Canis lupus familiaris: one gene and its partner. The protein of the gene in region 1 purifies or fractionates together with the protein of each later gene. This does not show direct contact. Links are inferred from orthologs where the notes say so. Each region holds a gene or a part of one and is shown on either strand. Other genes may lie near its edges.

What was found.
Region 2: the proteins of CDK2 (region 1) and CREBBP purify together in Homo sapiens (affinity purification with mass spectrometry; 3 studies listed by BioGRID and IntAct, counting the BioPlex papers as one, with this or other methods). This does not show direct contact. The link is inferred for Canis lupus familiaris from reciprocal best matches to the Homo sapiens genes CDK2 and CREBBP.

What each region holds. Positions count from the first base shown.
Region 1 is NC_049231.1:650,107-655,834, forward strand, and holds the start of CDK2 (cyclin-dependent kinase 2), read left to right. Parts: upstream 1-2,407; 5' UTR 2,408-2,650; coding exon 2,651-2,766; intron 2,767-2,893; exon of another isoform or gene 2,894-3,039; intron 3,040-3,096; exon of another isoform or gene 3,097-3,300; coding exon of another isoform or gene 3,301-3,311; intron 3,312-3,481; coding exon 3,482-3,559; intron 3,560-3,662; coding exon 3,663-3,783; intron 3,784-4,469; coding exon 4,470-4,640; intron 4,641-5,136; coding exon 5,137-5,238; intron 5,239-5,728. Other genes in the region: melanocyte protein PMEL precursor, read right to left, coding at 1,580-1,655. UniProt on the Homo sapiens protein: Serine/threonine-protein kinase involved in the control of the cell cycle; essential for meiosis, but dispensable for mitosis. Phosphorylates CABLES1, CTNNB1, CDK2AP2, ERCC6, NBN, USP37, p53/TP53, NPM1, CDK7, RB1, BRCA2, MYC, NPAT, EZH2.
Region 2 is NC_049227.1:37,710,638-37,716,067, forward strand, and holds the start of CREBBP (CREB-binding protein), read left to right. Parts: upstream 1-1,733; 5' UTR 1,734-1,813; coding exon 1,814-1,898; intron 1,899-5,430. UniProt on the Homo sapiens protein: Acetylates histones, giving a specific tag for transcriptional activation. Mediates acetylation of histone H3 at 'Lys-18' and 'Lys-27' (H3K18ac and H3K27ac, respectively).

The sequences.
Region 1 (5,728 bases):
CAAGCAGACACACGGAGCCATGGTAGCGCGAGGCATGATAGGGACTAGCAGTGTGGTTGATACACACCGTAGGAGACGAGGCCAGGAAGGCAAGTGAAGGCCCCGACCAAAGGAGTTTGGCCTTTATTCTGTAGGCAAGGCCACGGCAGAAGATTGTTTCTTTCATTGAGATATAATTCATATACCATAAAATTCACCCTTCAGAAGCTTTTTGAATATGATGAGATGTGTGTTTTAGAAGGATCAGTATGGCAAGCAGTAAAGAGGATGGATCTATAGGCAGGCAGTGGTTGGGGCAAGCAGCCAAAATTATTATAACTGACTAAGAGAGAGGTCTAAGAAAAAGGGATATGATGGATCTACTTACACCTCACCCAGATGCAACAACTATCATTTTGCCACATTTGCTTTATCTATCCTCTTTTGTTTGTTGGCTAAAGTATTTAAAAGCAAATTCCAGATATTTTGTTATTTTAACCCTACAATCTCAATACGTATCTGTAAAAAAATATGAACATTTTCTTGAATAAGCACAATGTCACTTCCCCCTAGACAAAATGATCAAACCCAATTCGTATAAAGTTTCATCTAAAAATGTCTTCTTATGACTTAAAAAAATCATTATCCAAAAAGTAAGCACCATCTTTTAAGAGGCTCAGGTGCACAAGAATGAAAAGAATATTTCCAGAATACATTAAGGAAATAGTAAAAGGCTTGAAACTGGAGCACAAATGAGGGAAGTCAGATCAGGAAAATTTCCTAGAAGTCTGTGAGACCAGGGATCTAGAGAGAGAAAGGGGAGACTAGGATATGATATCTATATTTTAGCACAGGAGAAACTCCTTTTCAATGTGTAGTGGAGACCTAGCTGAGTCTGCTGAGGGCGGGGGGGTGGGGGGTAGATCTAGAATAATCTCACTGAGCATCCCACCGCTAAAGCAAGAGAATCATAAGATACCCCATTCTTCACTCCCAACCCTCCCTCCTCAGAGCAGCACGGGACATTCCAGACCCTCTCACCACCCCCACCCCCACCCCTTGCTCCCGTCACGAGGCCCCAATCCCCCAGAGCCCTTTCATGTGATGCTCAGCTGAGACCCCTCTGCCTGTCTCTTCCAGCCCCAGGACAAAAGCCTGAGCTATATTTACCCATCCCCATTCCAAAGAGGGGAGGTGATACCTCCTTACCTTTTCTATCCACATCAATACCACATTCTCTTACTCCTTTCTTTTAAATACCCTATCCCAAGTGCCTGAGTCATTCCCTAAGTCTTCCACTTATTTCCCTTTCAAAGCCCCTGCTCCAGCTCATTGCCCCGGGGGTGGGGTGGGGGTGTCTCAGAATTAGAGCCCCAAAGACCTACTATCCTTTTGCCCTTCCAAGCAGATGGGATTATTTTCAGGCTCAGTCCCAAATTTCCACCTAGAGAGGGACTTCAGATGCCCATGTCCTCGCTAAATCAAATGGGTGGAAGAAGCCTGAAATATTGCTGGTATCTCCCATGAGGAGGGAGAAAAATCAGAGCAGGTGTGCAACCCCAAACTCCCACTTGTTCATGTCCATACTCCCCACACTAACCTTCTGTGGCCCCCACAGCCAGAAGAACACCCATCACAGCCACATGGAGAAGGCATTTTCTCGGCACCAGATTCATCTTGTTCTTTCTTCCAGCAACCAAAGGCGCTGGGGGTGCTGGGACAAGCCCCTATATAGGAGAGGGGTGCTCATTTGCATAGCCCATCCTCCTTTCCCTCCTGGAGAGGCTTGGGAGGGGCAGGAGGGCCAGAGAAATAACTGAAAAGGGATCCTGGTCCCTGGACATCCCGCTACTCAATGACAGTTTCTGGTTTCACTGGGTCACGACCTTCTTGACCGGGGAAACATGGACTGCAGGGCAGCTAGCTACATCGTGTGTACTCGACGCCTGCAGTGCACCACAGGCTAAGGGGATCAATCTGGTTTTTGAGTCAAACCAGGAAACCTCTCAAACAGATGGAGACCCTGCATCTCCAAACAGAGAGATAGGATAGGATAGGCAGAGAGGGGCGCGAACGACGTGTCCAAGGCCCAGGACACCCATACGATGAGATTCCTAGCTTCCTGCTTTTCAAAGGCGGTTCCCTGGGCCAGGTGGAATTCAATCTTAGGGCAAGACACATTTTCTCTGGGGTTGGCGAATCAGAGGTCAGGAAATCCCTCCAGGCCCAGGACACAGGAAGGAAGCTCGACTCCAAATTGGGTACTTGGAAAAAGACGTTTATTTAGCTTCCCCAAGGTGACAAACTTGTATCGAAGACCCTCGGTAGTAACCTTGCGCGAGGTGGGGTCACTGGCGGCAGCGACGCGCTGGGCTCGCCCCCCCGCTCTGACGCTGGCCAATGGGAAGGGCCGGGGGCGGGGCCAGGGAAACGCGGGAAGGAGGGGCGGGGCCTCCACTGGCGGTAGGGAACCCGAGGGGAGGCGGCAACATTGTTTCAAGTTGGACAAATTGACAAGAGCGAGAGATACACTCCGTTCCATCCCGACCTGAGGCCGCGGAGCTGGGCCCTGTTTCCCCTCCTCCAGCCCCCGAGAGCCGGGGCCCGCCTTTTGCTGGGTTCCCAGGCCCCCGCTCCGGGGCCGGGCTGACCCGACTCTAGCGCTTGCTTCATGGAGAACTTCCAAAAAGTGGAAAAGATCGGAGAGGGCACGTACGGAGTTGTGTACAAAGCCAAAAACAAAGTGACGGGAGAAGTGGTGGCGCTTAAAAAAATCCGCCTGGACACGTGAGTGGCCTCTGTACCCGGGACTCCTCTAACTCCGGAGCTTCTTGAGTGCCCCCCGCCCCCACCCCGACAGGCGGGTAGCCGTCCGAGGACCGGAAGGTAGCAGGGTGGGACTTCTTTCGAAGTGGAGAGGTGGGCTGGAGGACAGTGAAGGGTTTCCCTGTGCAGAGTATAGGGCACTGTAGAGTCTGTGGGAAACTTTCTCCCCAAAGCCGAGTGATGCCCCCAAACGTGTAGTCCGAAAGACTCAGGAAGAGGAAGGAGGCCTCTGAGGTGGGGGTCCAAGACTCCCCGTGGAGTTGAGGTCTGTGGGAACCGGTGAAGAGCACCTTTCTGAATGAAGAGCCCTCCTCACTGCCCCAACCCCACCCTCCTCTTAGAATTCTCTACCCCTTTCAAAAGAATGGCAGTTGAACCTCACTGGCCCGTCTAGGGAGGCTGGGTGCTGCTACTCTTCTTTCCTCCCGTTACCTTCTCTCTTCTTCACCTCCACCAGAAGGCTTTACTTACCTACCCGTGGGAGAAGAAGAAATAATGACCTTAACGTATCCAAAAAGCACCCCCCTGTCCACCTGTGAATTAACTCCTACAGCCCCCTTTCTCTTCTGTCACTTTCCTAGGGTGTGCTGGGGTGGTGTCTCGTTCGGAGACTGGGCTGGGGGAAAAGCAGTATTTGTAACCACATTCCTCTCTCTGCTTTCTCAACCTCCCCAAGTGAGACGGAGGGTGTACCCAGTACTGCTATACGAGAGATCTCCCTGCTTAAGGAGCTTAACCACCCGAACATTGTCAAGTAAGTATGTGTCTGGGAGATATTTCAGCGGTAAAAGAGAATGTCTTCTGTGAGGCCGGGGCATCGCTCTTCCTCACCTCCATTCCTGGACCTCCCTCCCTAGGCTATTGGATGTCATCCACACAGAAAACAAACTCTACCTGGTTTTTGAATTTCTGCACCAGGATCTGAAGAAATTTATGGATGCTTCTGCTTTGACTGGCATTCCTCTTCCCCTCATCAAGGTAATCCTTCTCATCAACTCCTCCCCCAACATGGGCACGTTTTGGGGGGACTGAAGGCAGGCAATTCAGACTGGGTGATGATCTGTGATCTTAGCTTCCTTCCCAGCCCTCATCCCCCTACACACACACACACACACACACACACACACACACACACACACCTTTCTTTTGTGGCTCTTTCACTGCTCATTATGCTTATTAACCCCTGGGCAGGGCAGGAGAATCAAAGAAGTTGAAACTCTAGTGAGTCAACTTTGTAGCTCAGGTGGAAGGTCAGATGAAACTCAGATAAACGAGACTGGAGGGTACTTGGTACTTGGTAGATTCCTCCAAGAACCCCTTCCACTAGTTTGGTAGGAGAAATAGCCAGTGAGTCTCTGTTGTCTGTCTTAGGGCTGGGTTCTCTGCTCCCTGAGCTATTTTCAATCTATCAACAAACATTTATTCGGTGCTCATTTACTGAACACCTTCAATGTGCTAGGCACAGAATATGGAAAAGAGATGCAAAACTAAATAGGACCCAGTCCTTATCTTCACTAGACTAGCAGTCCAATGGGAGATACAGCTTATAAACATGCAATTATAATCTAATACAGTAAAAGGCTTTAGTACAGCTTTGCAGGCAGAGTGGAGCCTAATAGCTCACTGTGGTCGAGAAACAAAGTCCTCTCTCTCTCCTTCGTCAGAGCTATCTGTTCCAGCTGCTCCAGGGCCTAGCCTTCTGCCATTCTCATCGGGTTCTGCACCGAGACCTCAAACCTCAGAATCTGCTTATCAACGCAGAGGGGGCCATCAAGCTAGCAGACTTTGGATTAGCCAGAGCCTTTGGAGTCCCTGTTCGTACTTACACCCATGAGGTGAGACCCTGTCTGCACTTCTTCTCTGAACTTTCTGGGAGGTGTTAACAAGGACATTTACAAAATGACTAAACCTATCTGGCCAGCAGTTTCTCTCTCCCTAGATGAAAGTATCTCTGGCACCCCAGGAGGTTTTAGAGTATGCACTGAGTTCATATTGCGGGGCTAGCTGGGCTTCAGTAGGTACCAAGCCAGCAGAGCTGGATGGCATATCATTAAAATTATGACCACTTCTCTCAGGAGTTTTCCAGGAAGGTTGAAAGTTTTGGGTTCAGAAAATAGGGTCTTTGGAGCCACAGGCGAGGCTAACTCTGGTCTAAGAAGTTGTGTGTAATCACTTTACGCAGGGGAAGTCAGAAAGATGGGAAAAGAAAGATAGAGGGAGAGAAGCTGCTTGTGATCAGGCTGAGAACTAGCAGAGTAACACCGAGGAGCTGACATGTGGGAATCACTGTGCCCCATGCACCACCTCTCCCCTTCTTGCTCTTGTTCCCAGGTGGTGACCCTGTGGTACCGAGCACCTGAAATCCTTCTGGGCTGCAAGTACTACTCCACAGCCGTAGATATCTGGAGCTTGGGCTGCATCTTTGCTGAGATGGTATGGAGGCAAGCCCGAGTTCCACCCAGCTCTCTCCTCCCCACATTCAAAAACAACAGAACTTTTTCTTGGCCTAGACTCATGGCCCTTCTATTATCTAGGATCCTTTCTCTTAGAGTAGGACCAAAGCGGGTACGGGGGAAAGGATAGGACTATCGTCCCTGAGGTCAACTACAATGTCAGTATATCCTCAAATGGCCTTAGCATTAAATACACGTCTCTTGTCCCCAAATTGAGCTAAATCATTTCTGCAACTGTTTTAGCTTTAGTCTGCATATATTTGGGAGAATGAGTACCTACCATTCAGTGCCTCCTTCATTTGGCCTGTAGACCTTCTAGTAAGGTCCCAGGAATATGGTGAAATCAACTGTATTCATGTTATCCATTTATTTATTTATTTATTTATTTATTTATTTATTTATTTATCTATCTATCATACCTTTTATTTAAACTGCAGACTTAAATTATGTCCCCCTCAACTTCTGGCTTT
Region 2 (5,430 bases), on another chromosome or scaffold:
GACCGCGAGGAACAGGTAAGGGACGTGGGGAGACTGCTGTGTGGGCAGCGCGGACTCGCTGGTTTCTGCCTTAGGACCCTGGAGACTCGGAGGTGAAGTGCTGGCAGGTCTGGGGAAGCAGCCCAGGCACGGAGACGTGGACACCTCGGCATTCCGTCTGTCCCACGGGGAGGTGGCCCCACACCTGCGGAGCCCCCGCAGGGTGCCAGGTGGCTGTCGGGGGCGGGGGGAGCGCTCCCGAGGCGCACTGATGGAAGGGGTCTTCCAGGCCGCGGTGCAGGGGAGGTCCCAGCCCGGGGAGGTCGCACCCACCACCTCCCGTGCAGGTGAGGCCGTCGCGCAGGCAGCCCCGACGCATCGGGCTGGGGGAACAGGGCATCTTGCGTCCCCCGCACTCCAGTTGGGGGGGGGGGGCTCGAGTCCCGATCCTGCCCCCTCCTGCCTCAGTTTCCCCCTCTGCACACACTCGCGGACGGTCTGCAACCTGCGGGAGCCCCGATGCGTCGCTGGCAACCGGTGAGGGGAGGCGGCCAGGCCCGGTCAACCGGGAGACGGTCGCGGGCAGGGACGCGAGGAACCGGGGACCGGGCAGAGTCGCCCAGCGGGACGGGCGGGCCCGGCCGGCGCCGACTCCACGCCCGGGGGCCCCGCTCGCCGCCAGGCCGCAGCCCTGGCCCTAGCCGCCCAGCGGCCAGCAGAACAAAAGTGGCTGCCGCGCGGGGCGCGGGGCGTCCCACAGGCGCGGCCGCTGCGCCGCCGGGGCAGCCCCGCCGCCCCACGCACGCCGGCCGCGCCTTCGGCCCCTTCCGCCCGAGCGCGCTCGGCTCTTTCCGCCGCGAACGGCGCAGGTGGAGGGGGCGGGGCGGGGGCCGTGCGTGGTGACGCCGCGGGGGGGGTGACGCACCGGCGTGCCCCGCCCCCTCCCCCTCCCCGTTCAGGCTCTGGAAAGAGAAGAAAAAAAACTTTCTTTTTTTTTTAATTGAGGAATCAACAGCCGCCATCTTGTCGCGGACCCGACCGGGGCTTCGAGCGCGATCTACTCGGCCCCCGCCGGTCCCGGGCCCCACAACCGCCCGCGCACCCCCGCTCCGCCCGGCCGGCCCGCTCCGCCCGGCCCTCGGTGCCCGCTCCGGCGGCCCCGCTCGCCTCTCGGCTCGGCCTCCCGGAGCCGCGGCGGCGGCGGCGGCGGCGGCAGGCGGCGGCGGCGGCGGCGGCGGCGGCGGAACGGGGGGTGGGGGGGGCCGCGGCGGCGGCGGCGGCGGCCCCGCTTCGCGCATTGTTTTTCCTCACGGCGGCGGCGGCGGCGGCGGGCCGCGGGCGGGGAGCGGAGCCCGGAGCCCCCCGGTCGTCGGGCCGCGAGCGAATTAATTAAGTGGGGCGCGGGGGGGGGGGGGGAGCGAGGCGGCGGCGCGGCGGCGGCGGCGGCACCATGTTCCCGGGGACTGCCTGAGCCGCCCGGCCGGGCGCCGTCGCTGCCAGCCGGGCCCGGGGGGGCGGCCGGGCCGCCGGGGCGCCCCCGCCGCGGAGTGTCGCGCTCGGGAGGCGGGCAGGGGATGAGGGGGCCGCGGCCGGCGGCGGCGGCGGCGGCGGCCGGGGGCGGGCGGTGAGCGCTGCGGGGCGCTGTTGCTGTGGCTGAGATTTGGCCGCCGCCTCCCCCACCCGGCCTGCGCCCTCCCTCTCCCTCGGCGCTCGCTCGCGGCTCGCGCTCGCTGCTCTCCCCTCGCAGCCGGCCGGGGCCGGCGCCGACCCCCGCCCCGGAGCTCTTGCCGGCCCGGCCGCCCGCGCTCGGGGCTGTTTCCGCGAGCAGGTGAAAATGGCCGAGAACTTGCTGGACGGACCGCCCAACCCCAAACGAGCCAAACTCAGCTCGCCCGGCTTCTCGGCGAATGACAGCACAGGTGAGGAGGGGGGGCCCGGGCGGGGGGCGGGGGCCCAGCCCGCAGGTTAGCGCCGGGGGGACCCGCCCCGAGGCGCCAGCCCGCGCGGCCGCTGCCCGGGGCCCCGCCGGCCCGGGCCGAGGGGGAAGTTTGTGGCCGGACGGCGCCGGGGCCCCGAGCGGGGGGCCAGCCCCGGAGTTGGGGAGCCCTCCGCGCGCGGAAGGCGAGCGGTACCTGCGGGGAGCACAAGGGGAGCGGAGCGCGCCGGGCTTCGTGGCGGTTCCGCGCGCCTCCCTGTGCGGCCGTGCGTCGGCTCACGCGGGGCTGCCTGGAGGGCTGACAGCGGAGGGTGGGCTTCCCGGTGACGGAGGGGAAAAGTGCAGCGAAGCGGGGGTGGGGGTGGGGGGACGACCCAAAGTCTTTTCTGAGCTGGTAGCACGATTCGCAGCGCTGCGATCCGGATCAGGACACACGCTCCACACACACAGCTCGCTCGTAGCAGCAGCCGACCTGGGAGTTGGGACTTTGGAAGTTTCTTGGGATGCGGTCCTTGGGAAGATGCTTTTCGCAGTTTGTCTTGAAAAAACTCTGGTTGTTGGGTCTACCCAAGGCCGTTCCGTTTGCACCAGCCCCAACTCGGTTAGCAAGATGTCATCCAAGTTGCTGTGCTGTGTTTAACTTCAGAGGCATGACCTTAAAAGAAAGTTTAGGTACAGCAGATCCTTTCGGGCTACATCCTCCGGCTTGAGTTGGTGGGGCTTTTACACTGTGGGTGTATTAAAGAAAATTATGTTAAGGAATGTAGGAATCGCAGGTCCCACCCACCACCACCACCCCCTCCAAAAAAAAATTTTTTTTTTTTTTTAGCCAGGTATTAAATGAAGCGTTCTTTCAAACAGCATCCATGAAAACTTTGTGAAGTAATCCCATCAGTTGCCTAAGTATTTTAGTTTCTATTCGTTTAATAACTCTGGGCTCTTCTGAGCTGGTTCACGGTAGCATTATGATCGAGTTGTATTTCCTCTTTCAGACCTCTCCTTTGCAGTAAAAACTTGTGCACCGCTGCGAACAGTTCTGTCTCCAGCGCAGCCTGCATTTCTCCAGTACGGTCTTGGTAGTAGCAGCATCTGAAAATCAGTTTATAATGAATGGGTCCAAATTGAATTATATTGCTGCAGCGATGCCTTCAGATTTGCAGTAGACACAGCTGTTCAGCTTGTGCAAATATTTCTGTGGCCACTGGCATATTTCTACTAATGGTCTAAAAAAATCTGTTTCTCCTGTTGAAACAAAACTACTTGGGTTTTGTGGCTTCGGTTTTAATACAATTTCAAGGATAGTAATGTAGGTGTGAGAGAAAGGATATTTTAAAATATCATGAGATTCTTATCTAGTTTAAATACAATTTGTTAAACGGTGGGGGGGGAGTAAATAAGTCTCATGGGGCAAAAAGTCACTAATACTTTTTTGTAATTGATAGAGTGGAGTGTGATGTTTATTTTGTCAAATCAGCTTGTCTGAAGTAAGAAATGTGGAAACAGCCATGACTTAGATGCCCTTTTACTATAGAACAGATCTCTTTTGCTTCATTAATCTTGCTATGTTTGAGTGAAAAGTCTTTAATCATATGAAACATAGATCATACCAGGCAAGTTCAGCTTTGAAGTTTGTCTTCTGAAACTGGTAACTTTTTGAATGGCTTTGCAGCTTTGCTCTTGTCAAATGAGGCTATTGCAGATTGTGTTTTCTATAGAGGGATAAATTACTAACACAAGACTTAACAGAAAGGGTTTTCCGAATATATACATTCAGCTGTTAACAAGGTGGAGCCTAGAGAATGGCCTTTTTGGGTAGTTCTGTTAATGGATGGTCAGATATTTACTTGATGCGCTGCTAAATCACAACAAATTTTTTCGGAAAGGATTTTTCCCTCTTGGCTACTTTTTCTCCCCTTTCTTTTCCAACGTTGATCCTCCTAAAGCATGAGGGCTCACTCTTTTCCAAATGGGGAACACAAATTTTTAATAGCTCTGATTTAAATAATAAAATTCATGATTATACTTATGTCAAGTCACCTTGGTTACGTTTTCATCACGTCACATTATTGGCCAGAGTCTATCAGTGCGGGGGCCAAGGAAGGATCGTCATCGAGCAAATTAAAGGAGGTACAACCTTGTCTTCTGTAACCAGTAGTCTGAGACAGAGATCCTAAGGATATATATTGAACAAATAAAGGACTCTAGGAATCACATTACGTCCAATCAAAGGAGTGAAGGCATTGGGGTAGGTGGGAAAGTAGGGAGAGACTCAACCTCGTTTAAGTGAGGGGATGTGTTTTTGAGGCTCCTGGAAGAAAAATGGAGCCAGGTGGAGCAAAGCGCGTTTTCTTTTTCCGTGATAATAGAATTTGAAGGGAGTTCTGTACATGGGAAGAGCTGAGAGGTTAGGAGGAGCAGGAGGCAGCCTGGTGGCCTGAGAAACGAGGGATTTGGACTGCTACCATGCAGCACATGTCTGTAGGGACTGGCCTGGGGAGCCATCGTGTCCGTTGCGTGAGTCTAAGGGACTGACATTGGGTGGAGAGAATAGTACTCCTGACATTGGGTAGCTAGCTCACAAGCCAGGGTGCTCCCCGCAGGGCACTTGCAGTCTAGTAAGGGGAGCGTGTATATAGCATGCCAGTGAGATTAGGTGGCATCTCTGAGTGATGAATGTCATTGCCACCGGTATCAGATTGTCAGACGGGAGAGGCTCTGAAGGCTGGGGAGGTCAGGGAAGTCTTCTGAACAGAGTATGCAGAGGGGATGCGGCACTAGAAAATGTGCCCCAAAGGAAGGTAGCAAGAGGAAGAAGGAGAAATAGTACTTTTGACCTCACCCACACCTCAGCTCTGGAGTGGCACTGGATTTCAACGTTGTGAGGTATTGTTTTACCTTGAGGGCTTAAATGCTTTCCTGTAAATGCAGTCTTCCTTCACTTGGCACCCATTATAAAAGGTAGGACTGTGTGTTTCCAATATATAGTTAGTTGTGTGTTTTGGAAACTTCTTTATTTAATATGTCCCGATTAAAACAGCATATTAGTGTTTTTCAAAAGCAGGGATTCATGACTTAACAGTGAAGGAGAAGTAAATATCCAAGCAAGCAGACTTTTTTTTTTGTCAGCTTTATTGAAGCCAGATTTACATACAACAAATAGACTGTTAAGTTTTTTAAGACTGTCTTCTGAAAATTGGAACCTACTTCATCCTATCCTGTTTGTGTCCCTAGCAGTTGTGATTATACTTCATAACATGGATCCCTTTAAATGCTATAGGAAACCATATTTAAAGAAAGTATGGGGTAAATATAGTTACCAACCAAAATGCCTTTCACAACAAAATGATGATCTGTTATGTATGTGTAGTGCTTTCTGTGTCAGAGTGCTTTTCTCCCCATCACCTCAGCTTGGTCCTCAGAGCATCCTGTGAGGTGGGACAGGAAGACACTCTTCCTGCCGATTCTGGGTAAGGAACCAGACTTGAAGGAGGTGATCTGCCCAGAGTAACATAAAG